Arabidopsis thaliana: one gene and its partners. The protein of the gene in region 1 interacts with the protein of each later gene in a pairwise test. Each region holds a gene or a part of one and is shown on either strand. Other genes may lie near its edges.

Region 1 (10,761 bases):
GACGAACGTGTAATCTGGATACGCTAAGAAATTATGAAGGACTCTAGGGACGCGGTCACAGTGAGAAAGCTGGATGATGATACATCGATTGCCAACGCATAGCTGCAGTGTATCCGCCGGAGGATCGTAGTAACCACCAGATGAAGAATCGGAGTAATAACTAACCGGTGGAGAATCGGAGTTTTAACCAGGCGGTGTCCACTGAACTCCGACTCCGACAACGAGAGGGTGAGAGGAGAAGCGGTTGTTGGAGAGAACGTCGTGTATCCATTGGCCGATGACGGAGGGGTCCGGCGTTACGGTGACGGTTAACTCTTCTCCAAAGAAATTGACAGAGTATTTTTCCTGAGTGGCATAACTTCCGATTGTTCTGATTCTCGGAGCCATTGATTTTACGTTTACTTTGGAGAACCAGAGCATAGAAAGATAATGATTCTGCTTGTATCGTCGAAGGCTACTTAAAGTGTAGTACTGGTGCTCAGTGCTCTTTGTCACCGTTTGATCTTTGTGAAAATAAATGCGGTTAAATTTGGACGGTTAAGATGCATGTAGGCAAAGGTTAGCCTTTCGCATCGTTGGGTCAGTCTATCGTGACATCGTGCATAGTAATTCGACGTCACAAACTCACAATTACTGATTCGTTAACCTCAAACCTAAATAATTACTGATTCGTATTCAGAAAGATTTTATAAAAAACTTGAAATTTGGGAATTAAGGAGGATGAATAATTTCAGTATTAGTTAATATTAGTATCATCCTGTATCAAGATTAGGATTGAAAAACTCAACATAGCAAGCATTAGATCCAAATTAAAGTAGGAAACATATTTAGCACAGCACTATGCGTTTGTAAGTTCGTTTCCTTATTTTGATAAAATTTAGCTTATGATAAAATAAAATAATACTTGTATTTTACAAAATACTCATGGAAGAAATAAACTACTAGTTTTTTAAAAAAGAAGGGAAATTTCACTCACAAGTCCACAACGAACAAACGAGATAAGATTTATTTCTCTAATAAGTAATAACAAACCAAAAAAGGAAAAGATTCAAACATTTGCAACATTAGATTCTAATTGAAACGTTTACCGATTCTTTTCTTCCCACAGATGGTCTAGAATAGCAAGGCTGCAACACGCATAAACATCTATCGACGCCTGAAGAATCTGATCGTAGCTAAGGTTGTAAACGCGCCAATCGCTCATGCTTACCTCTCGATCTAGCCTCACTCCTGGATAACCTAAATTTTCCTCAACAATCTTCTCAAGCGAATAATTATACATCGATCTCCGTCCACTCGAATCTGAAACAAATTCCCTCAAATCCATAAGCTCCGCAATCTCCAACTGATGTCTAGATCTCTCTAGCTTTCCTGCATCTTGACTATTCCAAATTCCGACGAACGTGTTATCTCGATCCGCGAGGAAATTACGGAGGACCTGCGGGACGCGTTCACAGTAACGGAGTTGGATGATGATACATCGATTACCAACGCATAGCTGCAGAGTATCCGCCGGAGGATCGGAGCTATAGAAAACCGGTGGAGAATCGGAGCGATAACTGTCCGGAGAAGAATCGGAACGATAACTAACCGGTGGAGAAGCAGGGTGGTAACCAGAGGGTGTCCACTGAACGCCGACTCCAACGACGAGAGGGTGAGAAGAGAGACGGTTGTGGAAGAAGACGTCGTGAATCCATTGGCCGATGACGGAAGGATCCGGCGTTACGGTGACGAAAAGCTCTTCTCCAAAGAAATCGACTGAGTACCTTTGCTGAGTAGCGTAAGATCCGATGGTTCTGATTGTCGGAGCCATTGATTTTGCCTTCAGTTTTTCAAGCAGAGATAATGATGAAACTGCTTTCTTCTCCTTTTGCAATCGTCGGAGGCTAGTTAAATTGTAGTACTGGTGCTCGCTATCACCATTGATCTTTTTGAAAATAAATGCAGTTAAATTTGGACGGTTGAGATGCAGTGTGACGTCATTAACCTACGCCAAACCTTAATGGTTATTACTGATTTGAATTCAAAAAGAATTTCTTATAAAGATCTCGAAATTTGAATTATGGAGAATATTTTGAGTATAGTTTATCAGATTACGTTAGCTAATGTTATATACTCCTAAAAATTAGTATTATCCTAAATCAAGATTAGGATTGATAAACGCATCTCAGTTGTAAACTCGTATCCTTGATCTTGCTTGAGGTTATATCCAGTTTAAAAATCGGAAATCATTTAACTGGGTGCAAAAACATTTGATTGACCAATTTGGTACGTCGTGATTTTTTTTGTCCCATGTCAAATTAAACAAAATTGATAATATAATTCATCAAAGCGTATTTGTTTTTAATCAAAACGTTAGATAGTCTTTTAATATCAATGCCTTTATTACAAACGTAGTCTACATGTACTAATTTTCCAGTCAACATTCATAGTCACAAAATACGATAACATGAAAACTTTCATGAATTAGAAGAAGACGTTGATTGATAAAGAGAGAAGAACAACAACAAATTCAAATCACAAGATTAGCAGCAACTTTTAAGTTCCAGAGACGTTCCTCAACAGCGAGCTTAAAGCAAACATACGACTCAATCGACGCCTGAAGTACCTGATAATGGTTAAGGTTATAAACGCCCCAATCGCTCATACAAATCGCCGGATCTAACCTCACTCCTACGCGACCCAAACGCTCCTTCACGATCTGTTCAAACGAACAAAAACACATCCTAGCCCCTCTCGAATCTCTCACGAACATCCTTATGTCCAGAAGCTTCCCGATCTCCACTCGATGCCTACATTTCTCGAGTTTTTTCTGGTCTTGGCCGTTCCAAACGCCGACGAAAGTCGTTTTGGGATCGGCAAGGAAAGTGCGGAGGACTTTTGGGAGACCGTAATTGTAACCTAGTTGGATGATGAGACAGCGACTACCGACGCACAACTGGAGAGTTTTTGGTGGTGGATCTGGATCGGAACTATCCGGTCTCCACTGAACACCGATTCCAACGACGAGAGGATGTACCGAGTGATTACGGTTGTAGGAGCGGACGCTACGAATCCAGCGGCGGATAACGGAAGCAGTCGGCGTAACGGTGACGATCAAGTCGTCTCCGAAAAAATCGACAAAGTGTTTTTGGTGAGTACGGAAACTTCTGATTCTTTTGATCGTCGGAGCCATTGATCTGTCTTCTTCTTCCTTTCTCTAAATTTTTGAGCGAGTGTTAGAAAGAGAAGCGGTTTCTTTTTCTTGTTATAGGGTACATTTTTGTTTCTAGTTATAATCACCGTCGATCTTTGTAGTTTTAATCGTACGGTTGACAATGGAGATGCATGTACTGTCACATCGTCAGGCCTATCATAGATGTATACGCAAAACATTTACTAATTACTGTATTTTACGGCTCTGAATTTTTATTTTTATTTCCATAAAGGTTTGATGAAGACATGGAATATAATACTTTTTTACGTACTTCTTTTTACTAAAATAGTTTATTCAGTTATTTGGGGGCTTAATTAGGTAGATAACCATAACCTTTTTTTGTGTGTTTTTTTCACGAACAATGATTCACTGATGTAAAATCATAATTACTGATGAAGTTAACTTTCAACGTATAACGCTATGACGCAATTACTCTTGATATTTTTTCCTATATATTGGTTTGACAAAATTTTGTAACTTTAAATATAACTTCTGAAAAAATAAAAAAGTTGTAAATATAAATTCCACAACATTTTGTTTGGAACTTTGGATACATAGGCCACTTTGTTTTATCACACTTTATAATAAAGGTGGTTTCTGTTTTTTTTTTCTAAAATTCGACAGTTTGGTTTATAAGTATCTAAATTCAACTTGAAGACAAATAATTCTAACTTTATTTTATTTAAATTGTGATAAAAAAAAGTAACCCAAAACATATTTTTTGGTTCAGGCATATGTGTTACAACTTACAAGGATGCATTATCCTCAAACAAAATCCAATAAATAAAAAATAGAGAAGGTGGATGAAGATCTAAGAATTAATACTGTCACGAGAAAACGTATACAATCCACTAATACATAGCCACGTGTATGGTTAGATCTTTTCAAACAATCCGATTATATTTTGTGCTCCGCCGTATATTTATAACTAACATTACTTAATTAAATAACCATGTCGTCGACCCATTTTTTTTCTTTGACCCAAAACTTTAATTTGATTATATATATTTAATTTTAATTTTTCCATCGCACGGAGATTGTAACAAGGAAACCGCCGTCGCCGGATCTGATAGTGCATATCCATGAAGTAGAAGACGAAGAAACTTACTTTCTGATCTTAGAACGGAGTATATGTACAGAAGATTCGCGTCCCTCAATTTTTGATCTCAAGGGTCGGGTTTACCTTTTTTTCCTTCTTATTTTTGGTGGCTTTGCGTTTTCTCATTCGACGATTTCTGGATTTGGGGATTTCAAAACCATGAGGAAGAAGCTCGATACTCGGTTCCCAGCTGTAAGTTTTTCGTCTCTAATTGATCATTTCTGAAATTGAAGTCCAATTTCTCGGAAATTACTTTGATCTGTTGTTTTTCAGATCGAATTTCCAACACTATTTGGGATTAGATTAGTGTTCTACGATGAAAATTAGATTAAGTATCTCATTTCTGGCGAATTAGTTTTAGCAAATGACCTAGTAGTCAATTTCACCCTAATTTTTGTTGTGCTTGTTATATAGCTATAGTAATATGTGTTATGAAGATCCGCTATGGAATGTTTCATGTAAATTAGAGAATTCGAGAATTTAGGTGACTAGTGCTCGAAACGTGTTCTTTATCAACAAACCAGTCAGCTATTGGTTAGATAGTGTTGATTGAAGCAGGGATGTTATACACGAATTGTTTTTTCATAGGCTTGGAACTTTTTGTAGAGCTTCCAATTTGGCTAGCTAGATTTTGTTTAGCTTTATTGAATAAAACGTCAGATGATTTCATAAGTTGGTTATTGTTGATGGTGGTTTATTTTGTTTGAGCTGAGGCTAGAATATTAGTTTTTCACAGATTTTGACTTTCCATTTAATTTGTTAATATATTTTTGTTTGTATAATCTGATTGGTGATTGTACAGAGCGTGCTTGGTGTTTCTCAGTTCTACCATTTGCTTTATAATTCGTTTAGTAGTCTGTAATTATTGCCACACACACTGTGTGATGGTTGCTGTTTCTTCATTTGATGCATATATTACAATTTTTCAGGCTCGTATTAAAAAGATTATGCAAGCTGATGAGGATGTTGGCAAGATAGCTTTGGCAGTGCCTGTCTTAGTCTGTAAGTCATCTTGCTATCATTGACTTCAGTTTGAAAAGAGAATTATTGGAAACTTTACCCTTTGGCTAAATTTCATGTTCTCTTATTACAGCAAAATCTTTGGAGTTGTTCTTGCAAGACCTTTGTGATCGTACATATGAAATTACCCTTGAAAGAGGTGCCAAGACTGTGAGCTCATTGCACCTGTAAGTAACAGATTGGTTTACCTTTATTTTTGCTTTAACTCTGCATGCTAGCATCGTCATTATCTAAAGAGCATGAAAGGTTTCACTTGAATGCATTTTAAATTCTAGAGCTTTCAGATGTTGTAATTATTGATATTGTGGTTTAAGAGTTAACATGATGTTGTTAAGCGGAATAGCTTCCAACTCATAGGGCCTATTTTCACTGCATCCAACACCGAGAGGATGTTGTTTACTGTTACAGAATTTTATACCACAAATTTGGGATAAAGTTCTTATTTTTGCTCATCCATGTTTATCAAAGTGCTTTGTTGTTTACAGAAAACATTGTGTGGAAAGATATAACGTGTTTGATTTTCTGAGGGAAGTTGTGAGTAAGGTGCCTGACTATGGCCATTCCCAAGGGCAAGGACATGGTGATGTTACCATGGATGATCGCAGCATCTCCAAGAGAAGGTTGGATGTTTGATCTCTTAGTTCCATATGTTCTAGTTCTTTGTTTATAGTCCGTGTCAAGCTGATGTGAGATGGTTTATCAAAACAGGAAGCCCATCAGCGATGAAGTGAATGACAGTGACGAGGAATATAAGAAAAGCAAAACGGTGAGCTCGTGTTCTTCTTGAAATATTATACTTCATCATTCATTTGGTGTCTATTCCCAGCTCCTTAGATTCATTGAATATATTGGTAATCACTGCAGCAAGAGATAGGGAGTGCTAAGACCAGTGGCAGGGGTGGTAGAGGAAGAGGGCGAGGAAGAGGTCGTGGTGGACGAGCTGCAAAAGCAGCCGAAAGAGAGGGTCTCAACCGCGAGATGGAAGTAGAAGCCGCCAATTCTGGACAGCCACCACCAGAAGACAATGTCAAGATGCATGCGTCAGAGTCATCACCACAAGAGGATGAGAAGAAAGGCATCGACGGCACAGCAGCATCGAACGAAGACACCAAGCAACACCTTCAAAGTCCCAAAGAAGGCATTGACTTTGATCTCAACGCTGAATCCCTCGACCTAAACGAGACCAAACTGGCACCAGCCACAGGCACAACCACAACCACAACTGCAGCAACAGACTCTGAGGAGTATTCGGGCTGGCCTATGATGGACATAAGCAAAATGGATCCAGCACAGCTTGCTAGTCTGGGTAAGAGGATAGACGAGGATGAGGAAGATTATGACGAAGAAGGCTAAGTCATAACAGCACTATAGGATATATAGAGTAGCAGCGTTTAGCAGTTTGTCTAGAAAATGCTTCTTCTGTCATCAAAATCTTCTCCTGTTTCCATTTATTGTATGAACCAAAGATTGCATGCACTCTATGAAACTTAATTTATTCTCCTGATTTGTTATTTAAGGTTTTAGAGTTTTACATCAGAAGTTAAAATATCTTACAGAGTAAGTAAACACTCAAAAGTACATAAACAAAGGAGAGGGACTAGTCATGGTGTTGCTCCGCGTGGTTGAGATGAAGAGCACCTTCATGGTTCTTGTGAACTTCCACCTTGAACTTTTCCTCTTTTTCTCCCCTCTTCAACTTCAGTAGCATGTTGTATTTTGCAGCCTCGCCGGTTACCTGTGTCCATGTTTTTAATATTAAGCTCATTAATCTTGTAATCACCAACTATTACAACTCAGACGTTAGTCCTCATACCAAGGAGAACCAATATGTTGCTTAAAGTCTTTTCTACTTCTAAAACTTCAACACCATTCGGTTTCACTGACACTTGATTTCGTTTATTTGCAATTTCTCAGATGAAATTCATGCAAAAACATTGTCAAAATCTGACAAGTTCTCTATTGAAATTCATTTTGTGCAATTAAGATCGAAGATAGAGTATATAGTAAATTAAAGCCATACCTCAGCTTTAGCATGCACAACCTCCAGAAGTTCATAAGGGAACAAGGAGTTAGACCTCTGCTGAATGGTCTTGACAGCCTGCTCAGCAACATGCTTCACTTCTGGATCATCTCCGGGAACTTCCCTCCATCCAGATTCATGTTCACCTGATCCACAAAACCCAATTTTCATAACCAAACTCTTTCCTAACCCACAATCTCTGACTTGCTACATATATATCCCCTGACATTATAATGTTCTTATCAGTAACTACTCAAATTCACACCTTGCTTGCAGCCAAGATCGGAGGAAGTGATAGCAGGGGCATCACTGGCAGGCTTGAACTCCTGTAACTCTTTAAAGTTCAACCACGGCTTGACCCACACTTTGGCTTCGTAAAGCTTCTTCTGTCCTGCCTCGAGAATCTCCAGAGTCAGGTGATGCAGTGTTCCGGCTACAACTTGTTCTTTCGCCTTCACAACTCTCGCAAACTCAAGAAGTGCATTCTACGACGACCAAAGACAGAACAAACCAAAAAATCAATCAATCAATCAATCCCACAACATGAACGCATTTCATCACCGAATAATATACACTCTCTAAGATCTGCTGGTAACTGAAATTGAGATCAATAGAGAAACTCCGGACAAAATTAGTCTAATCGTGTTCTGGATCAAGACTATAATAGCATAAAACACACATATCGAGACGAGAGATGTGAAAAAATCGAAGATGATGAGAGATTTGGAACCTCTTTCTTGTTGTGTTCATCGACAGCGAAACGAGCGAGGCTCTCAACCTCACCACTGTTCTGATTAGCAGGGACATCGCCAACACCTCCGACTAAAGCCATCTCTTCGTTGCAGAAGCCTAAATCACTGGCGATCAGAGAGGAAATGAAGAGGGATAGAGAGAAGAAAACAATGAAGAGTAAGAAACGGCTTCTCATCATTCTCACCTTTATTTGGTTCGGTGCCCTGTATTTTTAGATATTTTTCGTTTTACTCGTCGAATTGTTGATTTTATCCTCTACAGTTAATTCGCCGTGTACCGGATTAAGGTGTCCATTTGGTTTGATGTTGGTTTTGTTGGTACAGTTTTAAGTTTAGGCTCTGATTTATGAAAATATTCTTACGATTTAAAACAAAAAAGGTTTACATTTGATTGGATGCCAATTGAATCGAATCATTTGTAAGAAAAGAGTACCGATTCGAGTTATAGATTGGTTTGATTTGGCCTCAATCGGTTAAGCTACCAACATTTTAAATAGAAATTCATACCAATCTGGATTACACATGAAAACGTTGCTGAGGATAGCGGCACGTTATACGAAACGTGTCGGCAGAGTCACACAGAAATTGTCAAACACCTTTACTTGTAATCGAAGTTTAAAACATCTATGCACCTTTCTTCGTCTTTCTCTCATCTGCTAGAGAGCCCAATTAAAAAAGGCCCATGGGAAATAAAATCGCAACATAAACAGTGAAACATCATTGGAAAGAGTTTTATTAGTCTGATATTATTGTTTTGATAATACAAAGCTGCGTATTATATTATAATAATAATACTCTCGTTACTAAATAGCAGCTTCGAGGAGGCCGTTAACGAAGGATCTTTGGTTGTAACAATCAAGATTACCACCAGGATTAACACCAAATATGTTACAATACCTCTGATAAAACCCTATACGATCGGCGACTCTCCCGTCTTGGCCACGTCCACACTCCAATCCACCGTTAATGATGTTCGTAATCACTCCATAACCCGGTAATCTCCCGGCGGCACGGTCGGCGTCTGAAGGCTGCCACTGGCCGGCTATCACGGCATGGCAAGACGGTTTGGGAGGCTGAGCAGTCATCCAGAACCAAATCGCGGCTTTGAAAGCGATCACTGCGTCGTTGGCAACAAGGTCAGGGTTGTTGAGTAAGTCAACTCCTATTGCTCTACCGCATAGACCGTAATTGTAGTTCCACGACAGTTGCATTGGTCCTCTTCCGTAGTAGCGTTTGCCAGATGCGCATGGCCACGTGGCGCTCGGTTCACAGTAGTCTGAAGCAGGATTCTGTTCTTGCTTGAAACAGTAGCCCCATGAATATGGTCCGTCTGGTGCTGTAGCCCATCCACCTGCACGACGTAACCGTCCACTTAATTAATTAGTATATAGCTATATATATAGTCACAACTCACAAACTTGACATTATTCAAAAGTGTATAATTTGGAAACTGGAATATTCGTAAGTTCCTTGATTGGTTATTTGCGTTTAGATTAATCAAGAATTTCATATTTTTAAAATAGTTTTTTAATTGTAAACGCAAACATCTAAGACCAAAACATTTTTCTTTGCGTTTGGCGTTTTTGTTTGATTTTTTTCTTTCGTTTCTAAATATGAGAAGCTATAATTTTTTCAATAAAACATATATATATATATATATATATATATATAGTATAGTAGTTCTTTGTATATATGAGCACTTGGATCCAAAACTCTTTACAGAAGAAAAAAAGAACTTCAAATTCTGATGTTTTAATAATAAACACCAAAATTTAGCAATTGTGTTTTGAAACAATCTCCGTCAAATTGTTAATGAGTTTTGGGTACCTGTAGTTTCATGGGAAGTCTGGCCGAAGAAGGCGGCGACCTCCTTCTTCCTCGTGGCGGTGTCTCCGGTGGTGCCAAAACCGGGGAAGGACTTTGCAGCGGTGATAAAGGCGTTGTAAGTGTAGAAACCTCTAGCAGGACAAGCGGCATCATTCCTATGCTTAAGCATATCATCGAACTGAGAACTTGAAATGATGCCCGAAAGATCGCCGGTGGGTCCAGGAGGAGTACCACCGGGAGTGCACTGGCTTTGGCAGCCAGGCTGCTTACAGTATGGTTCGGTGTTACCGCACCAGCCGAACTCGCTGCAGCATAGACCGTTGGGGCAGAGTGCTCCTCCAGCTTGGCGACCACATTGCTCGGCCGAGGATAATGATAGGAGAAGTGAAAAGATGAGAAAGAGAAAAAGATTAGTCTTCATTTTGTTCAATGTTCTATGGTTTTCTTTTTGTGGAGGCATGAAAGATATATATAGATCCAATTAATGAATGTTTTATCACATCAAATTCTATCTTTTTCCATAGTTTATTGTTTGTTATGTCTATGGAGTGTGGCTATGGGGAACAAACAGTATTTGGTAGGTTTGTTTTTGATTATATTTATTTTCCTTCCGTCATTGTTGCTAGGTTAGATATTGATTTGTTTTTTTGGGGGATTATCATGTTAATTCCAAGTAATGAGAACTTTCTATGTATGAAACTGTGCTAAATGTTGGTAGAAGAATACAAATTTTAGAAGACCAAAAGCATAACAAATTACACTCTTTTTGAGTTTTTTGTTCTAAAGTTACTATCGACGTAGATAGTGGGACACAAAGGTCGTAAAATTTTGGGTGGTCTGAAAACAC
Region 2 (9,595 bases), on another chromosome or scaffold:
GAGGAGCAGAAACAGTTGGCTTAGTTTCAGCCTCAAGAGGACCAGAAAATTTATGCCGGGCCACAAAATCCTTCGGGATTATCGGAGGATTAAATCTGATATAATATACAAAACACACAATGATATGAATTAGACTATCTGAATGTAAGTAGCCATAATCAGAAAATTCTGAGAGTAAGAGCTCTATTAGACATGCAATTGTGTGATGACATTGATTTAACAATGTCCTCATGTTTGTGAATCATTGAAACATTACCTCTCCATACTGTAGTCAGAATTCTTAGCAGCTCCAAAACCTGGCAGAACGTCATGCTCTTTTGAGGTTAACCTCAGTCTATTGTCATTGCTCTGTCTTGCTGGCTGTTCGTCTTCTATGACATAAGTCTGATCAAAATCGTAACCTGAAAGAAAAGAAAAACACTTTGGTATTGCAGCATATTCTGAGAAACAGGAGGTTGATAAATCCAAAACTAGCACTTCAAATTGTCAAGAAAGTATTTACACCTATAACCAATATTATTCTTTTACAAAAGCAAATTACTTTTACAACATACAGGAGCTTTAAATTAACGACTGTGGGACAATGGTTTGTAATCTTTAGAATAAATAATAGTTCAACCTGAACAGACACTTATGCATATATGAACAAAGAAACCATGATTAGTGAAATTGCACTTCTGTCCTTACCAGCATAGACATCTTCATCCTCAACATCAAGTTCCTCAAGTGCTCCAATGCCAAAACCCGGAGCAATCTTTCCTGCTGATTGTTCAACTCATGTTAGTAACTAACAAAACCCATAAGTAGTTTTCACGCAACAAGAATGCCAAGTAAAAGCTGGCATAGAGATACGCTATAGATGCATGTAAGTATCTTTAAGCAAAGAAGAGAAAATTAACAAGAAAGAAAAGAAAAAATGGTGAGTCAAAATCTTACATTTGGGTCCAAAAAGACTTTCCTTCATTGATAAAGGTTTTCTGAAACCAACCTCCTTATTGGCAGACATGCGAGATCTTTTCTTTTCTACAGATCAGAATAATGTGAAGCAAGTCAATGACCAAGAATGCCCTGTCAGCAGAAACATCATAAAAAGTCCAAACTAGGTACCTCTAAATTCAGGAGCATGCTTAAAAGGATCATATCCTAATCCATGCAGATCTTGCTTTGGATTCAGAACATATACCTGCAATCGATAAAGGGGGAACAAAGGATATCATCAAAATCAATGTAACTAAGGGTAATATCTGAAGAAGCTCAGCAGCAGATTAGAAGCAGTATTCACAGTCCGACGTTAATAAAAAGTAGAAGAGAAGTTCAAGAAAAGTATGACTAATAGAAGTATCACACCAGTAGCGATTACAATCAACAACATATAGCTCGTTTGAAAAGAGAAACAGGAAAATTGACTCACAGGAGTGCTTTCAGAAATTTTAATATCTTCACCCAGAGAAGTTTCCACTTCAGTCTCAGAAACAAGCGAGTCGGGCGTTTCCTTTGTATTCTCATCAGTATAGAAGGCTAAGAATGCTTTTCTAGCTTCTCTACGAGCATCTGCACCAACAAGGTATAAAAGAGAGAGAGAGAGAGACGAAATAAAGAGCTTGCTGTGAATTTCCAAAATAGAAAAAGTATTGACGGCTTTTCTTGGTGCACAAAAGAAGATTATGGATTAGTGCATGTTAAACAAGTTCAAACCTGAACTGGCACGCACTTCCTTTATTGAATGACCACGCCGCCATCCCATCTTTAGCAAAAGTTTGACCCCTGAAAAATATAAAGAAGCATAAATGTGAGATCAGGATTTCTCCACTTGATGCATTCGAAAATAAAGAAAACGAAAGAAAAGGAACTTTTGCAAAATATTAAAGAGGCTTATTGAAACTAACCAATTGACTCTGAAACTGGAGCAACAAGTTCGTCAGGAACAGGGCCAGGAATGGCTGATGGCCTGTGATACAGAAACAATATGTTACAAATATATAGATAGCAACTTCTTATAAAAAACAGACTACAGATAAGTACACAGACCTCTCATGCTGTTCTTTCTCAGCATGCTTGCGGGAATGTTCGGCTGCCGTAAACCCAAATGTGTCAAATTGTGAGCTCGCAGACAGTGATTTGCCCTCCATATCCTAAAATGGAAAAGGATTTAGAATGGTGTAACATCGTTAAATATGGTGCACATCTTCCACAGAGCAAAATATAATTCCCAAATCCACACTCCATTTTACCATTGATAAAAGTAACAGAAGAATCATGCAATATGCGGTAATCAAACTTTGACAAGCTTAAAATAACTCGAAATAAAGCTTTAACAGATCTAACAAGGAGAAAAAGATGAAACATACCGCCTTTTCATCTTCATCTAGAAAGTCTGAAATACTTTGCTTTCTCGCTCCAGCTCTGTTCTGCCTTGATGATGTAAATGACTGTGGAGCCCAGCCTGAAGTACGATTTAGATTGTAAACAGCATAGCACAGATAAAAAAGCCTTTGAAAATCAGGTAATGTAAACTTTACCCTCTTTTGATCCAACTGTATTGTAATACCCAGCAGAATATCCACCAGTAAATGCTCCATGGAACCTTCTACGGCCTTCTTCATCAGTCACCTGAGTATGGTAAAACTCGAGATGTTAGCAACTTTCCACATAATAGTACAACTATATACAGATAGACTTTATTTCCAGTAAAAACTCATAGTGGAAAGCTGGACAACGAATTCTTGCAATATCATGCATCCATTAGTAAGGACACAAATTTTCATCACAGATTGCTTCAATTAGTTTGCAATTAGAGACCAAGGAAGATGCCACATACATAAATACATATTTCAAAATGCCTACAAGGCAAACACCTAAATGCAGATAATCAATCTAATAACTATCCATAGATACATTAATAAGCAAAAACAAACACAGCAAATAACAAAAACTCAGAATCTAACTGTCTAGCATGATTTTGAGTATTAAATCAGCTCCAGTAGAGACATTCACTTCGATTTTCTTGCTTAAGGTTAATTTCATTCCGGGATACTCACAAATTTTCAAGCTGATTAAGCTGAAACGGGAATGCCTCAAAGTTATCCCTTACCTTACTCGACATAAAACCTATTAAGCTCTCTACAATACGTTAGAATCACGAAAACAAGCACAACGAAAAAACTCCCATGTTCATGGCCAAAGCGAGTCTCTCGAAGCTCAAATTATCTAATCATCTGCAACTAAATAGACGAACTAGAAGATCAAAGAAAAACTCACCTCTTGCTTCCAAGCAGGGAGAGTTCTAAGATTGCCAGAAGCCCCAGCGACTGCTTTCTTCTTCCGGCTTGCGATTTCTTCTTCGCGCTCTATTGGCGTTCCATGAAACACGAAATCTTCCTCGTCTGACCCCATTGTCTTCACCACCGAGACCGAGAGGAGCAGCAGCAATTCGAGATTCTGAACGAGTCCCAGAGAGAAGAAGAAGAAGCAGAATCAGAGAATTATGGAGGAGATATCTGGGCCTGGTTCGGGTCTCTTTTCGGCCCATTAGTTTTGTTTTAAAATCCAATTGCTATAAGGAAGTTAAAGTTATCTTCACGCGCCGTCTCTAAGCGTTGTAAAAGAAAGTGTGATTCACGCGCTTTGCTTCTTCCGTTTGCCCTAAACGACTCTGCTAGAGAAGACGAAGGAGAGAGAAAATCCCTCCGATTATATTCCGTACAATCCGATCGATTTCCCGGCGCCAGATCTCACCGCGACTCGTCTACTTTCCGATTTGGTTCGTGTTGACTCAGTTACGGTGAGTCGATTATCTCTATCTTCTCGTTTTTTTCCGATCTCCCCTTGATTTGCTCTTTATGCAGATCTTCGTGTACAAGCACCTTTAACCTGATGAATTCTGTAGATTAAACTATGGATCCAATGGATATAGTCGGCAAATCCAAGGAAGACGCTTCTCTTCCAAAAGGTTAGTGTTATTGCTCATTGATCATTAAATAGGAGGATTTGTAAACCTAGCTATATATAACTCTGCTTGAAGGTTATAGGATTCATGAGCATCATAAACTTCATTTTTTTATTATCTTGCTAAGAATATGTTTTGTTGTTCTCTATTGTTTTAGCTACGATGACTAAAATTATAAAGGAGATGTTACCACCAGATGTTCGTGTTGCAAGAGATGCTCAAGATCTTCTCATTGAATGTTGTGTAGGTAAGATCATATAGTTTCTCTCTGAGTTCATCTATATATGTGAGAGTTCTTGGTTTTCTTACTGTGGTTTAAAACATTTTTTGCAGAGTTTATAAATCTTGTATCTTCAGAATCTAATGATGTTTGTAACAAAGAGGATAAACGGACGATTGCTCCTGAGCATGTTCTCAAGGCATTACAGGTTCTTGGTTTTGGAGAATACATTGAAGAAGTCTATGCTGCGTATGAGCAACATAAGTATGAAACAATGGTAATGATTCTCTACTTTCTTCTCCTACTCTTGATAACGAGGAGACGAAAAAACGATTAATGTTAACCGTTTCCTACATTTGTGACTCTATAGCAGGACACACAGAGGAGCGTGAAATGGAACCCTGGAGCTCAAATGACTGAGGAGGAAGCAGCAGCTGAGCAACAACGTATGTTTGCAGAAGCACGTGCAAGAATGAATGGAGGTGTTTCGGTTCCTCAACCTGAACATCCAGAAACTGACCAGAGAAGTCCGCAAAGCTAACTGAAACCGTAAGGGTAAGTGTTAGGCAAGAAAAAACAACATCCTTTTAACATTCCCTTGTAAGTTGCAAATGCGTATGTTCTCTGTTTATATGCTCTTAGTATGATATATGTTAGTTAGTGTTTCACGATCTAAAAACACTTGTGATTCAGATGTAATTAGTAAGCATTCCTTGTTTTGTGTTTACTTGTGTCTTGACTAAGCATGGTGGGTCAGGTCTACACAAAGCATCTGATTCGATGACTTACAGGAATCTTAATGTTTGTAGATTGGATAAATTTGGTGATTGGTGTAATTGTTTTTCCATAAACACAATGCAATCATTGTTTAGTGTTGTTAACATTTGCCCTGTGATTCTGACGCGAACCGAGAATACTGTACTGAGCCAAACATAGATTTTTGGTTTTCGGCTAGGTTTTGGTTCTCTAGGCTGAACCGATTGGCGTACTTTCAATTTGCCTTCAGTAACCTGCGAATTTCGGTTCGGTTCGACATTGGTTTCTCAGATAGTTATTTGTTTCTTAAAGAACGGATTATACCATTATTAGACCGTTTTTTACCAAAATTTGATCGGGTTTCGCAAATGATTACGAACCGATTTTAGAAAATAAAGAAGGAACCAAAACCAAACCAAATTGAATTTCTTTTCGGTAACCAGTTAGAAGAAATACTTCGGTTAATTGATAACCGGAAAACTGACTTGGTTTGTATGTTTTGTCTTTGTCATTAGTAGAAAAAACATAAACTGATGAAATTATTTAATAGACTCTAGTTTTCCCAGTCTCAAATTTTAATCTGTTCGTACTAAATAACTGATTTGTTCATTAAATATATAGTTCCTTACAAAGCAAAAGACAAATGGTTCATTAATATTTTAGTTTCTTACTAAAAATGTACATAAACTGATGAATTATGACATCATTAATTAAAGTATATACTGTAAAAGGTAGGATGACTTTTGACCCCAAAAAAAAAGGTAAGAGGAGTGAGGGAGAGTCGAAGAAGGGGAAGGTACTAGCAGGACCATCACCGGAGTGACGTGTCAGTTCGCAGGTTTCTGTTTACTCTGCACCCGACAACTAATAAGAGAATCAGAACAGACCTATTTCATATCTTACTATTTATGACGTCAATTGATCCTAACTATATAACTTACGTATTTATTTGTAACATTATTATACATTCCTTTGTATTATTATAACAGTATGATTTTATTCTTTGATATACAAAGACAAAGCCTGTCGAATGTTGTATTCCTCTTAATGGCCCGTCACACCAATCTTTATTTGAGAATATTTCGTACTGAATCGAGACTATTAATGAATAGTTGTATAATTGAATACATTCATCTTTCCATGATAAACCATACTATAAGTGTTAGACAATTACTTGAACCTATCTATAAAGCATAAACTTAAGTATCCATGTACCAATTGATATCGAGTCTTGTTGTATGTTTAACTTTTTTTAATGACGGATTGTTGGAAACCTGTAGTGGTTGTATGGATAATATGTGTACTAATTACTATATTATCTAACATGCACGATTTAAGTTTCGTATTAGTAAGTGTTGTTACAGTAATATAAGGATAGTGACGTCAAGCCGCTTGTGCCAAATTATTGTCTTGCGTTTTTTACCAGGAAAAGTTGGAAAAAAAAATCTTACTTTTACTGCCAACAACTAGAAAAACAGTTCTCAGAACTATTTGCTTTAACATGGTTAAAAAAAACTAATAACCGCATACAATTCAAAAAGTGAGATGGAAAAATAGAGAGTACAAGAGGTTCAACAATTCACTTGCATTTGTTTCAATTTAGAAATGTTTATATTCTATGTTGCTTTTGATACTTAATCTTTACTTTTTTTTTCCCTGTCCATTGATTTGAAAATAAGTTTGAAATCATCTACGAATCTTTAATATGATTAGAGATTGTATAATATGTACAATAAAGATTTGATATAAAGAAGAAAGGATTTGATATAAATGTACTATATTTTGGTAAACACTCCACTCTTTTTTTTTACTGTATAAAAGATTGAAGTCAAAAAAAGGGTTTTTGAGTCAAACAAAATTGAGGGTCTTTGTAGATTACCCCACATAGAAAATGAAACAACACACACACTTTGTCCCCAGATTCCTTTCTTTTGTCTCATTTCTCGTGTTTCTCCCAAAGTATTCAACAAAAACACAATCCTCCTCTCCACTTATTCTCTTAACTTTATATTAATACAACTGAATCAACCATTCATATAACTAAAATAAACAAAAATCAACATTTACAAAATTCAGCACCAAGCTTTTCTTGTATATTTATACTTTTTATATATTTTCTCCTAAATACATATTTTGCCTTGGCTCAGATTTATTAAATTCATATTGGCAAAAGGTTTTATTGGTGGTGTTGAGAGGAATGGAAGAGATAAAGATGTAAATGAAAGAAAAAATATTTCTCTCCTCTTTACTTGATAGAATCAGTTATTTTACATTTTCAAATTGTCTAACAAGAATTGAGCATAATCCGTTTTAAAAAAACCAAAAATATCTCTAGAATAAGCAACTAATTGAGCTAAAAAGTCTAAAACTAATCCCAAGCTGAATCACTTAACACCTAAGAGCATCCCCAATGGTTAAGATGTTAAAACATCTTAATTTTGGATCTTAATCTTTTTTAAAATTAAAATTTTGCTTTTTCAAAGTTAAGATAAGTTAAAAAAATATCTTAACTTATTTATGCTCCAATGGTTAAGAAGCAAAAAATTCTTAAGGGAAAAAATTTAAATTATTTATGTTCTAATGGTTTTTTTTTCTTTCCTTTTGTTTATTTGTGTACCCAATAAATACACCGCACATGTCCAATTCTTAAACTTAAGAAAATATATTAGTTAAGATATAAATCTTAGCTAATCTTAACTGTTTTTATTAAATTTAATCAGTTTATCAATTAAGATATAGACAAGATATCACTTATTTGAACCGATGGGGTTACTCTAATATGGTTAAATATTGAACTAAAAAGCAAAAGCCAAATCTACACTTATATTCAGAAACTATTGTTTTTTCTCTTTTCTTTTTCTTACTTTAAAATTTTGATTTCCGAAATCCTCTACAAAGATGAAAATGGTGGGTCCAATCACAGTCGGATTCTCTGTCAAATTGTATTATCTTCTCTCTCACACCAACACACTCACAACGACAAGAGATAGAGAGAGACAAAAGCAAAGAGAAGAAGTGAGATAAAGAGAGTTATATTCACCAAATAGACCAAACCCTCAAGTTAAATTCACACCAACAACTTTGATCATTACCACATTCTCTCTCTCTTTCTCTCTAGAGCTTCTAGCTTCTCTTTCAATGGCTAAAGACTTTGCCTCCAAGAGACACAATAGTTTCCACTGGACAAGAAAAGTCGGATCAGACGAAAACGACGACGTTTCTTCTCATAAACCTCTTCCTCATCACAACAACACTAAACCTTCTTCTTCTTCATCTTCATCTTCCTCTAATGTAATCACTCACAAAAAAAAGCTTCAATCTTTCGCCGTTTCTCGTCTCCGGTCAGTTATCGCTACTCTAAGCAGAGCACGACCCGGTAACCAAAACTCCGGGCTCGGGTCACGGGTCGTGGGTACACTTTTCGGGTCTCGTCGTGGTCACGTGCATTTCTCTATCCAGAAAGATCCTAATTCTCCACCGGCGTTTTTAATCGAACTCGCTACTCCGATTAGTGGGTTAGTCAAAGAAATGGCTTCAGGACTCGTTAGAATCGCTTTGGAGTGTGATAAGGGGAAAGAGGAAGAAGAAGGAGAAGAAAAAAACGGAACTTTACGTCACGGCGGAGGAGACAAGACGAAGACGACGACGACGGCGGCGGTTTCACGGCGGTTGGTGGAGGAGCCGATGTGGAGAACTTATTGTAACGGGAAAAAGTGTGGATTTGCTACGAGGAGAGAGTGTGGTGAGAAGGAGAAAAAGGTTTTGAAAGCTCTTGAGATGGTTTCAATGGGCGCCGGAGTCTTACCAGAGACGGAGGAGATAGGCGGTGGTGGCGGCGGCGGAGGAGATATAATGTATATGAGGGCGAAATTCGAGAGAATTGTTGGGTCGCGTGATTCAGAAGCCTTCTACATGATGAATCCTGATAGTAATGGAGCTCCTGAGCTTAGTATCTATCTACTCAGAATCTGATGAACAAGACGATGATCGATGAAGAAGAAGATGACTCAACAAAAGCCTCTTCGTCAAAAAAGGAAGGTTCATGGTTTAGTAAGATTTTCCGGTTTAATTACTTAATTAGTCGGTTAAGTGGTTAAGTAAGTCGATGTCTAATACTTAAAATCGAAAACGACGTATCTATTATTGCAAATTCGGATTAGATGTGAATGTGATCGATTAAATCGATTTCGTGTTAGATCAGTTTTTTTTTTTTTTGGGAGGGGTTTAGAGGTTTTTTAAAAGTTGGTATATGGGATCTGGAGGACTTTGTAAATGTATAAATTTCGTTTTAATTAAATCTGTAATCTTTTGTTGTTATTTCAAATGTTTAATGTTATAATTGAGGGCACCGAGCCTGTAGAATCATAATGATTAAGAGTATTGATTTTGTTCCCACTCCATTAGTGTCACTAAATTATGATTTTTAAAGTGTAAATTCATCATTGAGTTTCTTTGATCCAAGAATAATTTAGCCTGAACAAGTATGGACCATTTGGACCATACGTTATTATGAGTTACGCGTATCGACTATAACGACGCATTATTTTTAATTTTATATTCTTCCATGTGGATCAATCTATTAACTATTCAAAATTAAAACATATTTTTAGGCTTACACTCACTGATTGCTTTAGTTATTAAATTGACTACGGCCGGTCCATCAGTTTTAATTT
Region 3 (10,541 bases), on another chromosome or scaffold:
ACCTGGAGAAAGATCATGTATCGATGAAGAGAGACTTCGTGAAGCCGCAGAGCAGGAGGAGGCGTTATGGAATGTTGAGGAAGCTCTCGAGAGGTCTGAACAAGTTGAACGCAATCGTTTTGAGATTTAGGAGCAGCCAAAGTGTTGCCAGTAGCGGTAAAAAGCATACGGAGGAGAAAACGAATTCGGAAAGACGATTCATGTTTCAGAAGAGAAGATGTCACTCTGTTTCTTGACTTGCTTGCTTCTTCTTCTTCTACTCTTTTGTAATATTTCTTTAACAAAGAAAAGACGAGAGTGAATTTGAGTGTGTAAATTTGTAATTTACAGATTCTAGAGTTGCATAATACATTCCCAAGTGTGTAAAGCTTGTCTTGTATATACTGTTCGTTGATGATGATATATTGATATGGATCAAGAAGACCCTTAACGGAAAACATTTTGTTCTAGTTTTGTTTCCAGCTCAATGGGGCAAGAATTAAGTCTTGATCCCTTTGTCACTTTTCTAGGCCTTTTCTAGTAGGCCTATATATTATATCTCATTGCGCTCAACGGCCCACTACAAATCTTCCGGAGTATATTAGACGTGAAAAAAACTGTGAGATTTTTTTTACTCACGGGCCTAATCTTTGCTTTATAGGTACAGAGAATTTGCACTATGTCAAGTGTCAACGCCTTGTGATGACAGGAAAAAAAAAAACAGAATATAATCTACGACCTACATAGAAGAACTATGGACGTCGAGATTTGAACTAAAAGAATCTAATTAACATGACTGGTCCTTGCGTTTGCCACGTCGTTGGATCCCCTCGACAAGGTAATATATCTACCTTACCTGTGAGATATTTTGTAAGGGAATATATACATTAATGACAAATATCTTGAAAAAAGAGAGGATGAAATCAAGTCTTGGTTTGGAATTTGGGTTGGTGATTCCACAACTCAATTGCTGTGACCACACTAGAAAAGTATTTTGGCTCCCTCTCTAACAGGTTGGCCAAAACGTACCTAGATGTAATGAAAATAACTATATAATTACTACTTTATTAATCTGTAACAAAAACAAAAAGCCTATGTTTTTTTTTTATTAGATGACATTTTTAAACACCACACCAGTCAACACCAGATTTTTGCTTTTGACCTTTGTATATTATTATCATTTTAAATTATACGTTTGAATAACTAACTTACAAAAAAAAAAACAATAAATTTCAGCTTTTTGTCCATAAATTTATTCCAAAGAAAAACTACTATATATTGTGATGTATAAACAAATGTCAAGGGTATGTGATGCTGCTGCCTGTCGCAGACCGAAAGCGACACAACTTACCTTTTTTGATAACATACCAAACTATATAATTGATCGCGTTCATTTTCCGAAAATATATGCCGAATGCGGCGGGGCTATAAATAATAGTTTGATCGATCGGCTTGTTTATCATCCATACTCAAGGCCTCGAATTAACACTTCTTTGTCACATCGTCGATGGAACGAGTAAGAGATTTGGCATCGGAGAAGGCGGCTGTGATATTCACGAAGAGCTCGTGTTGCATGTGTCATAGCATCAAGACTCTCTTCTACGAACTCGGGGCGAGTCCTGCCATCCATGAGCTTGACAAGGACCCGCAAGGCCCTGACATGGAACGGGCCCTCTTCCGGGTATTCGGGTCTAACCCTGCTGTCCCTGCGGTTTTCGTAGGAGGAAGGTACGTCGGCTCAGCTAAAGACGTCATCTCCTTCCACGTGGATGGCTCCCTCAAGCAGATGTTAAAGGCCTCTAACGCCATATGGTTGTGACTACATATCATCACGCTTCTTACTATCATTTATTCTACACACACTAGTTCATATTATGTCATCTCGTGAATAATACATACATATATTTATCTAAGCTTGCATGAATATTGAATTATACTTTTAGTAACCATATATATAGAAGATTATGCATGCTCCGATGCTCGTGGAGATTAATTATCAGTTGATACGGAGAAACTAGACTGTAATCAATCATCACGTAAAGATTTCTGTTAATATCGGAATATCATCTGGATTTAGCATAATATCTTCCGATTATAGAAAAAAATGTACGTAGTATAATACCTAACCGATATACAAATGAATATCGAACGTAACTATGCTATAACTAGTATATATATGATCGTTTTTGAATCAAACATAAAAGAGAATCTCGCTCATGAAAAGATTACTACACCCACAAAACAATCGAAAAGTAAGCCAAGAATGACGCAGCAGAGTTAACATATGCGTGTGATTCACGCGTGCGTCCGGCAAGAAAGACATTTCGAGAGAAGTGAATCAAACATTAGTGTAAGTGTGAAAGAAGAATATATAAAAAAGAAAGATGGAATAATTTTCTTTGGCAAGTTGGTGTTGGCGGAATCACCATGTACGATGCATATTGTTGATACATATATATACATGTTTATCACCGAAAGGTCCAATCTTTTTCATTTATCCTCACTTTGCGCAATGACTCAATCAAAGGAGATATGTTGAGAGAATCCGTTAGATTATAAATTGACAAGCCTCTTTTCTTTTTCTAGGGGTATTAATCATGCTATATTTCTTGTCACATTGATTTGAATATCAGCAGTTTAAGAAAATCGCTTAGCCAAAAGTTATTAAGAAATCGTCTGATTTCTATCATTGTTGTAATCAATTTGATAAGCTAGCTTCAACTTTCATATCTATGTTAGTGTTTCAAAATTACTATCATATGCATTCCGTTCATACTTATTTCATCAATTAGTCCATGCATGCATGTGCTTATTATTTAGATTAATTATATTTATGTCACTGGCAATGCGTATACTATTATTAACCCACAAAAAGGTGAAACTGATTACAATTTTTCGAATCGTATTCGTAAATTACTAATCAACATGTTATGACGATCAAAACAACTGCAGCGTTACCGTAGAAATAAAAATAAATTGAATAACTTAGAAGTGAGAGTAATGTTTGCAACTTGTGCAGTCAAACAGAATATAAATAAGAAGAAAAATTCTCAAATAGGCATCTGATATTTTATCTTTCCTTTTTGATATTTTCTTAGAAATAAACTACATTTTAAATGGTCTTTTCTTTCTAATTAGCAAGAAAAAAACACACTCGAAAGACTCACTCCCTTCCTATAAATAGGCGAGCAAATGTCAAGCTTTTTACATACTCAAAACAAAACAAAACATACATCAAAACGCTAAAGTTTAAACCCCTAGCCATCATCAGATCTTCAGACTTCTGAGGATCATGGACAAAGTGATGAGAATGTCTTCAGAGAAAGGAGTGGTGATCTTCACGAAGAGCTCATGTTGTCTCTGCTACGCCGTTCAAATCCTGTTCCGTGACCTTAGGGTTCAACCAACCATCCACGAGATCGACAACGACCCGGACTGCCGTGAGATCGAGAAGGCTCTTCTCCGGCTCGGCTGTTCCACGGCGGTTCCAGCTGTCTTTGTCGGAGGCAAGCTTGTTGGCTCCACCAATGAAGTCATGTCCCTTCACCTTAGTGGCTCTCTTGTCCCATTGATCAAACCCTATCAGTCCATCCTTTACTAGCAAAATTAAACCAACTCAATATATAATATCTAATTATTAGCTAGTGAGAATAAACACAGTTACAGCTAGAGTGTGAGCTAGCTAGATATTCAGTGAGGACTTCGTCTGAATTAATGTTTATCGTTTGTATGTTCTATTGTTTAGCTTCTCTCGTGTTTCAGTTTAGTTAATCAACTGGTGTATGTTGATGTATGACTCTCTGTTTATGCTAATGAAAATAGTATTGAAACTTTTACATTTTTTCCCACACAATTAGTAACGATCTCTTGTGTATGTTGAGTAATTTAGGGCTTTCCATATAATAAGGCAAGAAACCGTTTATACTTGTCTGTTTTTAACATGGTATCAGAAGGAGGCTACACACAAACCATTTTCTTATTTAGAAATATTCACATACACTGACAGTAGCTAGAATAAAAATGTGAATGGCCAACACATGCATGAACTCGTCTTCTAATTATCAAGATGTAATGTATAAGTTGGCTTCATCATTATTAGTTAGACCTATTGATAGTTAACATTATATCGGGCGATATACAGATTTAGCCTTTGTGATGTTGTGTTTAGAGCGTACTTTTGAATCAAGGATAAATCAGTGCCCATTAGAGTATATATAAATCGAATGTGAAAAATATTAGATCAGAATAGACTTAATTAGTCTCCACCATACAAATTTGGTAAGAAGAAAAACAATGATAAGATACCAGTGGCCTAATGCAACTAAAGCAGTTTGAGGAAGAGGATGGAAGATCTTTCGCGGTCCAAGTATATCATGGCTACACAAAATCACTGCTCTTTTTGCGTTCCTTTATTCTTGAGTATCTTCACGTTTAATTTACTATTATTTTCTAATGAAAAATTGTACACCTTTTTATATATATGAACTCTTTGTTTTTTCGTTAGTTGCTCGTGTAGTAAATTAAACATATATGCTCATAATCAATAAAAACATACAATGTTAGAAGAAAAAAATACAATTTTTTTTACTAACGAATCATATGAATAGTTGTTTTATATACGGTACATTAACGATCCTCTCATCAGCTTTATAGATAACGAAGCATATTATTCTCCTTAGTTCCGCTTTTTATCACTTGAGATTAAACTCTACTCACAGGTTTAAGCACGTAAATTAGTTACTAAATAATGGATTTGACATTTACGCTTTGCATGCTTATATATGTTACCCATAATTATTTCCCTTTAGTTACTTAAAGTTACCAAAATCAACTACTTCAAGATTCTCCAATCAAAAGAAGCGTGTAAAAGCCTCTATAGTTATATAGTAGTATATAGACCTTGAAGATTTCTTTTTGAAGAAAATATGATTATACTGAGTTCAAAAGGTCGAAAAGAAATAATAAAGGTAGAATCCCTTTACATGATGTGTGGAACAACTTTTCTTGACCTCCAACTTCTTGGGATCGTGGGAAATATATAGGAGAATCTAATCGGAAGTTGTACAGAACGTGTAAGAACTAAGAACCATATTCACTTTGTTGTCATTGTTATAAGATTCAAGATTCTTTGACCGGCGCGTGAAAAAAGCATCCACCTATAGGCTCAAGATTCGTGTCCAAGAAAATATCGAGAACCGATGATTACTTGGAAAGTGGACCATTTTTTAAAAAATCAAAAATTAAAAAAGGAACGTAGCTCATGCGAATAGTTTAGTCCACCAAAGTGAAATGGTAGAACATTTGGTTTCAGTTTAGTTGTGTGTATTTTTATTAAAGGCTTCAGAATCAATTTCGATTTTTGAAAAATGAGTTTTTATAGCCATGTTAGTATGTTACGAGGATGGAAAAGCAACCTAGCTAGATTATCTTGTGATATGTGTTATTGTTCAAGAGAAGTAGGGGCAGTAGTTGTCGAGATCATGTTATTAGTGTCGCTGGAATGTTAGATATTGCCCATCCTGTCTCTTTTTCCCCATCGTGCCCTAAAAGTCAAACTATGCATGGTATTAGCTAATCTTGAATAGGTTTAATTCAGTACGGAAACTCTAATTGAAAACTACCTTCATGGAGTAATAGTTATCGAGGAACGATGATGAGGTATTAGTGGAGATAAGCAGATTTGGACTCAATATCAAAAATTAATGGTGGGATCCATTTCCGTTTCACCTAATATACATAGTGGCAAACAAAAAACAAATATAAGAAGAAAAGATTCAGTATCGAGCATTCTAGCTATGTCGGTAACGTGACAAAGTCCTTTTTTTCGTTTGTCTGTTTCTTTAAAGTTAATCAAATCGGCCAACGCTGCCTCAACAACGAGCTTCCTTTTTCTAACGTCCCTAATTTGCCACGTCCATTTTCTGGACTAGTCCCGGTTTAAAAAATCTTCAGAGATGTATTCGTGGTCAACTTCATTAACTCTTTCTCTTGAGCCCTTCATTAGTTATGATCTTATTTACTTTTTAAAAATCTAACCAAGTACTGTATATTATATATGTGGTAGCCAAAATATTATGTTAAATTCTAGGCTAATCCGATATATCAAGAAAAATCAATATATAAAAATGGAGAGCTATTTTTCACGAGTTAAGTGAGAGAGATGAGTAAAGAAAGGCACGGGAAGGTGAAGAGAGTGTAGGTTTCCAGCTTCTTCCCCAAGAAATAAAATGTATTTGACTTTGTCTAAGCAAATATGTCGTCACTTTAACGTCATTCATTACCTAGAATGCAATTAAGATATGGCTTTTACATAAGCCACCAAATTTGGTTTTGTTGCCCCAAAATATCCCAAGAAAAGATCAACTTCTTCTTCTTACCAAAACTGTCGGCGTCGTCTCCTCTAAGCTCCTCCCATGGAAGCAGAAGAAGGTCATCAGCGTGACCGCCTCTGCGACTATTGCGACTCCTCCGTGGCTCTTGTCTACTGCAAAGCTGACTCCGCCAAGCTCTGCCTCGCCTGCGACAAGCAAGTCCACGTCGCCAACCAACTCTTCGCCAAACACTTCAGGTCACTTCTCTGCGACTCCTGCAACGAATCTCCCTCTTCCCTTTTCTGCGAGACTGAAAGGTCTGTTCTTTGCCAGAACTGCGACTGGCAACACCACACCGCCTCTTCCTCCCTTCATAGCCGCAGACCCTTTGAAGGATTTACCGGCTGTCCCTCCGTGCCTGAGTTGCTGGCCATCGTTGGCCTCGATGACCTCACTCTCGATTCCGGATTGCTTTGGGAGTCACCTGAGATCGTTAGCCTCAACGACCTTATTGTTTCGGGCGGGTCGGGTACTCATAACTTCCGGGCCACGGATGTTCCTCCTCTGCCTAAGGTATAACTTGCTCTGTTTTTTTTCTCGAGCCAATTGCTCGGTTTTTATATTTCTCTGAAATGTTTTGAAATGCTCCAGAATCGTCACGCCACCTGCGGGAAATACAAAGATGAGATGATCCGACAGCTCCGTGGACTATCCAGATCTGAGCCTGGTTGTCTGAAATTTGAAACCCCAGATGCTGAGATCGATGCCGGGTTCCAATTCCTAGCGCCGGATTTGTTTTCTACATGCGAGCTGGTAATAGAGACTGCTATTGGTTGTGTTTTCTTGTGCTTGTCAAATGATTTTCCAGCTTATAAATCTCTCTTGTCAATATGAAGGAGAGTGGACTGAAATGGTTCGATCAGCAAGATCATGAGGACTTTCCATATTGCTCTCTGCTAAAGAACTTGTCGGAGTCAGATGAGAAACCTGAGAATGTAGACCGAGAGTCATCGGTGATGGTTCCCGTTTCCGGCTGCTTAAACCGATGTGAGGAAGAGACTGTGATGGTTCCGGTTATCACTAGTACAAGGTCGATGACACATGAGATCAACAGTCTTGAGAGGAACTCTGCTCTCTCTCGCTACAAAGAAAAGAAGAAGTCTCGAAGGTAAACAAGCTAATTTAAAAAGTGAGACACCACCAATAGGATTGGGATTTGAATCATGTGTTGATGAAACAGGTACGAGAAACACATCAGGTATGAATCACGCAAGGTTCGTGCAGAAAGCAGGACAAGAATCAGGGGACGTTTCGCCAAGGCAGCAGATCCATGAATGATGATGAGGTTACTTTGATAATCAAAAATCTTTTGTATTAATCGAATCATATAGTGTGTATGATCAGATAAGTTTTTGTATTCTAAGCTTAGGAGTTATCACTGTATATCGACCACACTCTCAAAATTGTCACTTAAGAATAGTTTTTTTTTTGTTTTGCCTCCGATTCCTAATTTGCCAAAGGGCAAGCATGGACGAGCACAGAACAAAACATGGTTCACAGTTATATACAATCTCAAGACAAGCAAGCAGCAAAAGAACTTGTTGTAATGTTAGAAAGTGAGATTGGACCCATTAAAGATCCATGGAGCAAGAAGGGCTTGATGTAATTGATATTATGGGCTCAAGTTGTAACATAGTAAACCCAATATAGGTTGGCATGTTTGGGCCATTTTCTTTTAAAGCCCAAATATAAAAGCGTCTCTTCCCGATGGCCGGCGAAACAGAAATTCCGCTGCCGTCGCAGCTTTCACTCTTGTTTTTTTATTCAGATGAAATTGGATGGCCGATGAAGACAAACATCCAAAGGCATGGGCTCGCGGCAACAACTATTTGCAATCTACCAATATATAATAATCTGAGGCAGTATAAAAATACAAAAAAAAATGACAACACTTTTTGGCAGATCATTCCTGCTACGATGAATCTGTCCCAATGATAATCTGAGAAGTAAAGTAAGTTTTGGTTGAACAAGGAATCTGGAGTGGGTTTTACTTGTTGAGCAATCAGTAAGCACTAAATCATGTATCAGAGTTGTGGTTATATTCTCTATGTTCTTCTTAGAATTCAAATATGAATCTGACTTGGAGTTCTTTATTTTAATGATGGTTAATTTTACTGTTAATATTTTTGGATTTGAACATTTGGTGAAGAGTGGTTGCAGCTTGAAGCAATTTTGCATCTCTCACTCTTCGTTTACTGTTTGTTGACGTTGAAGATTAGGCCCCAACAAACTTGTATATAAGAGCCCTTCTCTGTTTATTCTCCTGTCTTAAGAGCGCTAAATCCCTTGGAGACATCTTCACCACACTGTTCAGAGATCTGTCATGGGCCCCGGAGGACCAGGAGGACCCGGAGGACCAGGGTTCTTGCCACCGGGAGGACCAGGCTTCTTCCCACCCATTGGTGGTTTCTTTTCTGGGTTCTCCGACATGATATGTTCCTGGTAAAGACATTCTCTGTTTTGCTATGTGTTTTGTAAAGAGTTAAGTGGTTAGTCTGACTGTGGAATCTTGCAGTCTATCTTGTCTGTGCTGCTGCTGGCTGCTACGAGATTGCTTTGGCGGCCCACCGCCACAAGGACCGCCACTTCTGCCACCCTATTATTGACCACATCTGACTCCATTGGTCACTCGAATAATATTAAAGCTATCTCTGTATAGGATATTGCAGATGTTTGTCAAATTCAATCTTAAATATAATAATTCAAATGTCTCAATTTCTGCTCTGTGTGGATATATATTACCCAAAAAACGATCAAATTAATTATCAGAGAAATGAAATCATAGTCTGGAACTACAATCACTAGCAACACAATGCAACAACAACAACAACAAACACAATCTACTGTCTTCGATTCTTGACTCTTCTCTTGTATGGACTTGCCAAGACTTTTGAAACTATGTACACACACTTCTAAGACGAGGCCAAACCAGTCTTCTCTTTCAACATGATACAACTAAATAAACACGGAGTCACAGGGTTTGATGGAATTAATCATTCACATGCTATCTTGGTGTCGAAACTGCTGAGGCAAATGGTGAAGGCCTGGAAGGCAGAGATAGGGTACTGATAATCCATTGTGAACACATCTTTTCCGACTTTTCCAAACTGGAGAATCACGTTTTCGTGCTCAGGTCCTGCAGGTCCATTCTCAGGAGCAGCTACCAGCTGAAAGTTTTTGACGGAAGCAACTGTGACTCTCCCATTGAAGTTGAGGCACCAGCACTGGAGCTGTTCGTGCCATCTGGGCGCTTTGTTTTTCAGGACAAGCAGTCCTTCCTTCTGAGCAGCAGATGATGGACCAGAAGGGAGACTCTCTGCACGAATTGATTTCGACCTGAAGAAGGAGAATGAGGGGAAACTATCAAGATTGCTATGGACAAGTTCCGTCTGAGTTGGAGCTGTTCCTCCAGGTTCTACAGCTGATGCAGGGATGGCATCCATGACACACTGCATCCTCCTCGGTCCTCTGGTATGATACGACAATGTTCACAATTAGCAAAAGCCATATTAAGCAACTACCGTTTTATCTCACAATGTATCTGTAAGCAAGGAGATAAATCACCTGGAACCCAAGACGTTAAGCTCATATGAGATATGTGCTACAGGATAGTTGCCAGATGGAATTCTCGGGCTCACTTGTTTCAAACTGAGAAGTCTGCTTGAACGGGTTCTGGTAACCTGAGTTCCAGGATTCGTCGGCTGAGCGTCATAGACAGTGAACTTGGTCCCCAGAAAGTTAGATCTGAAAGAAAGTTAAGATAAGAGAAAGGTTATGGCAAATATATGAAAAAACCATGGGGTCAATCTGTAGCTAAGTACCTAAGCTTTCCGATATAGGTATTGCTTCCTCGAGAGACATCATCGCAGTTTAAGGAGATGATGTAGTCAGTGCAAGTTGGCCTCCGAAACCTCTTGGCAGCAAGAAGGAACTTTCCATCATCATTTGAAGCTGCTGCTGGACCAGAAAAAGTAAACCTTTGAGTGTTATTCAGAAAGAGATTAGGTATGCAAAGAGAAAAGAAGAAGCATCTGTTAGTTTCACCTTGGTTTAACCCGAGGTATAGATAGTAGGTTTGATTGCTGCGGTTTCTCATAATATAGCATTGAACAAGTGATCCTCTAGGACCCGGCTAAAAGGAAGTAGGGAAAAACGATTAGCCTGGATAAGCACACAAGTCATTTATAAAGT

What was found.
Region 2: the proteins of NF-YC11 (region 1) and NF-YB13 interact in a two-hybrid assay, tested with the Arabidopsis thaliana proteins (one large-scale study listed by BioGRID).
Region 3: the proteins of NF-YC11 (region 1) and AT2G47890 interact in a two-hybrid assay, tested with the Arabidopsis thaliana proteins (one large-scale study listed by BioGRID).

What each region holds. Positions count from the first base shown.
Region 1 is NC_003074.8:3,953,611-3,964,371, forward strand, and holds NF-YC11 (nuclear factor Y, subunit C11), read left to right. Parts: upstream 1-4,152; 5' UTR 4,153-4,454; coding exon 4,455-4,487; intron 4,488-5,224; coding exon 5,225-5,297; intron 5,298-5,388; coding exon 5,389-5,482; intron 5,483-5,800; coding exon 5,801-5,935; intron 5,936-6,023; coding exon 6,024-6,081; intron 6,082-6,179; coding exon 6,180-6,668; 3' UTR 6,669-6,862; downstream 6,863-10,761. Other genes in the region: AT3G12460 (Polynucleotidyl transferase, ribonuclease H-like superfamily protein), read right to left, coding at 1,085-1,813; AT3G12470 (Polynucleotidyl transferase, ribonuclease H-like superfamily protein), read right to left, coding at 2,513-3,175; CYSB (cystatin B), read right to left, coding at 6,913-7,050, 7,336-7,481, 7,601-7,820, 8,066-8,266; HCHIB (basic chitinase), read right to left, coding at 8,891-9,438, 9,915-10,374.
Region 2 is NC_003076.8:7,745,497-7,755,091, forward strand, and holds NF-YB13 (nuclear factor Y, subunit B13), read left to right. Parts: upstream 1-3,533; 5' UTR 3,534-3,781; intron 3,782-3,845; exon of another isoform or gene 3,846-3,886; 5' UTR 3,887-3,894; coding exon 3,895-3,949; intron 3,950-4,103; coding exon 4,104-4,193; intron 4,194-4,279; coding exon 4,280-4,443; intron 4,444-4,536; coding exon 4,537-4,707; 3' UTR 4,708-5,116; downstream 5,117-9,595. Other genes in the region: TGH (SWAP (Suppressor-of-White-APricot)/surp domain-containing protein), read right to left, coding at 1-95, 257-401, 688-762, 937-1,023, 1,108-1,183, 1,412-1,551, 1,696-1,764, 1,887-1,948 and 4 more; AT5G23100 (MIZU-KUSSEI-like protein (Protein of unknown function, DUF617)), read left to right, coding at 8,061-8,894.
Region 3 is NC_003071.7:19,601,853-19,612,393, forward strand, and holds AT2G47890 (B-box type zinc finger protein with CCT domain-containing protein), read left to right. Parts: upstream 1-6,143; 5' UTR 6,144-6,392; coding exon 6,393-6,863; intron 6,864-6,941; coding exon 6,942-7,103; coding exon of another isoform or gene 7,104-7,184; exon of another isoform or gene 7,185-7,186; coding exon 7,187-7,458; coding exon of another isoform or gene 7,459-7,462; exon of another isoform or gene 7,463-7,530; coding exon 7,531-7,624; 3' UTR 7,625-8,435; downstream 8,436-10,541. Other genes in the region: SETH6 (Phototropic-responsive NPH3 family protein), read left to right, coding at 1-236; AT2G47870 (Thioredoxin superfamily protein), read left to right, coding at 1,487-1,798; AT2G47880 (Glutaredoxin family protein), read left to right, coding at 3,272-3,580; AT2G47885 (uncharacterized protein), read right to left, coding at 3,379-3,516; TLP3 (tubby like protein 3), read right to left, coding at 9,344-9,818, 9,915-10,094, 10,172-10,307, 10,395-10,482.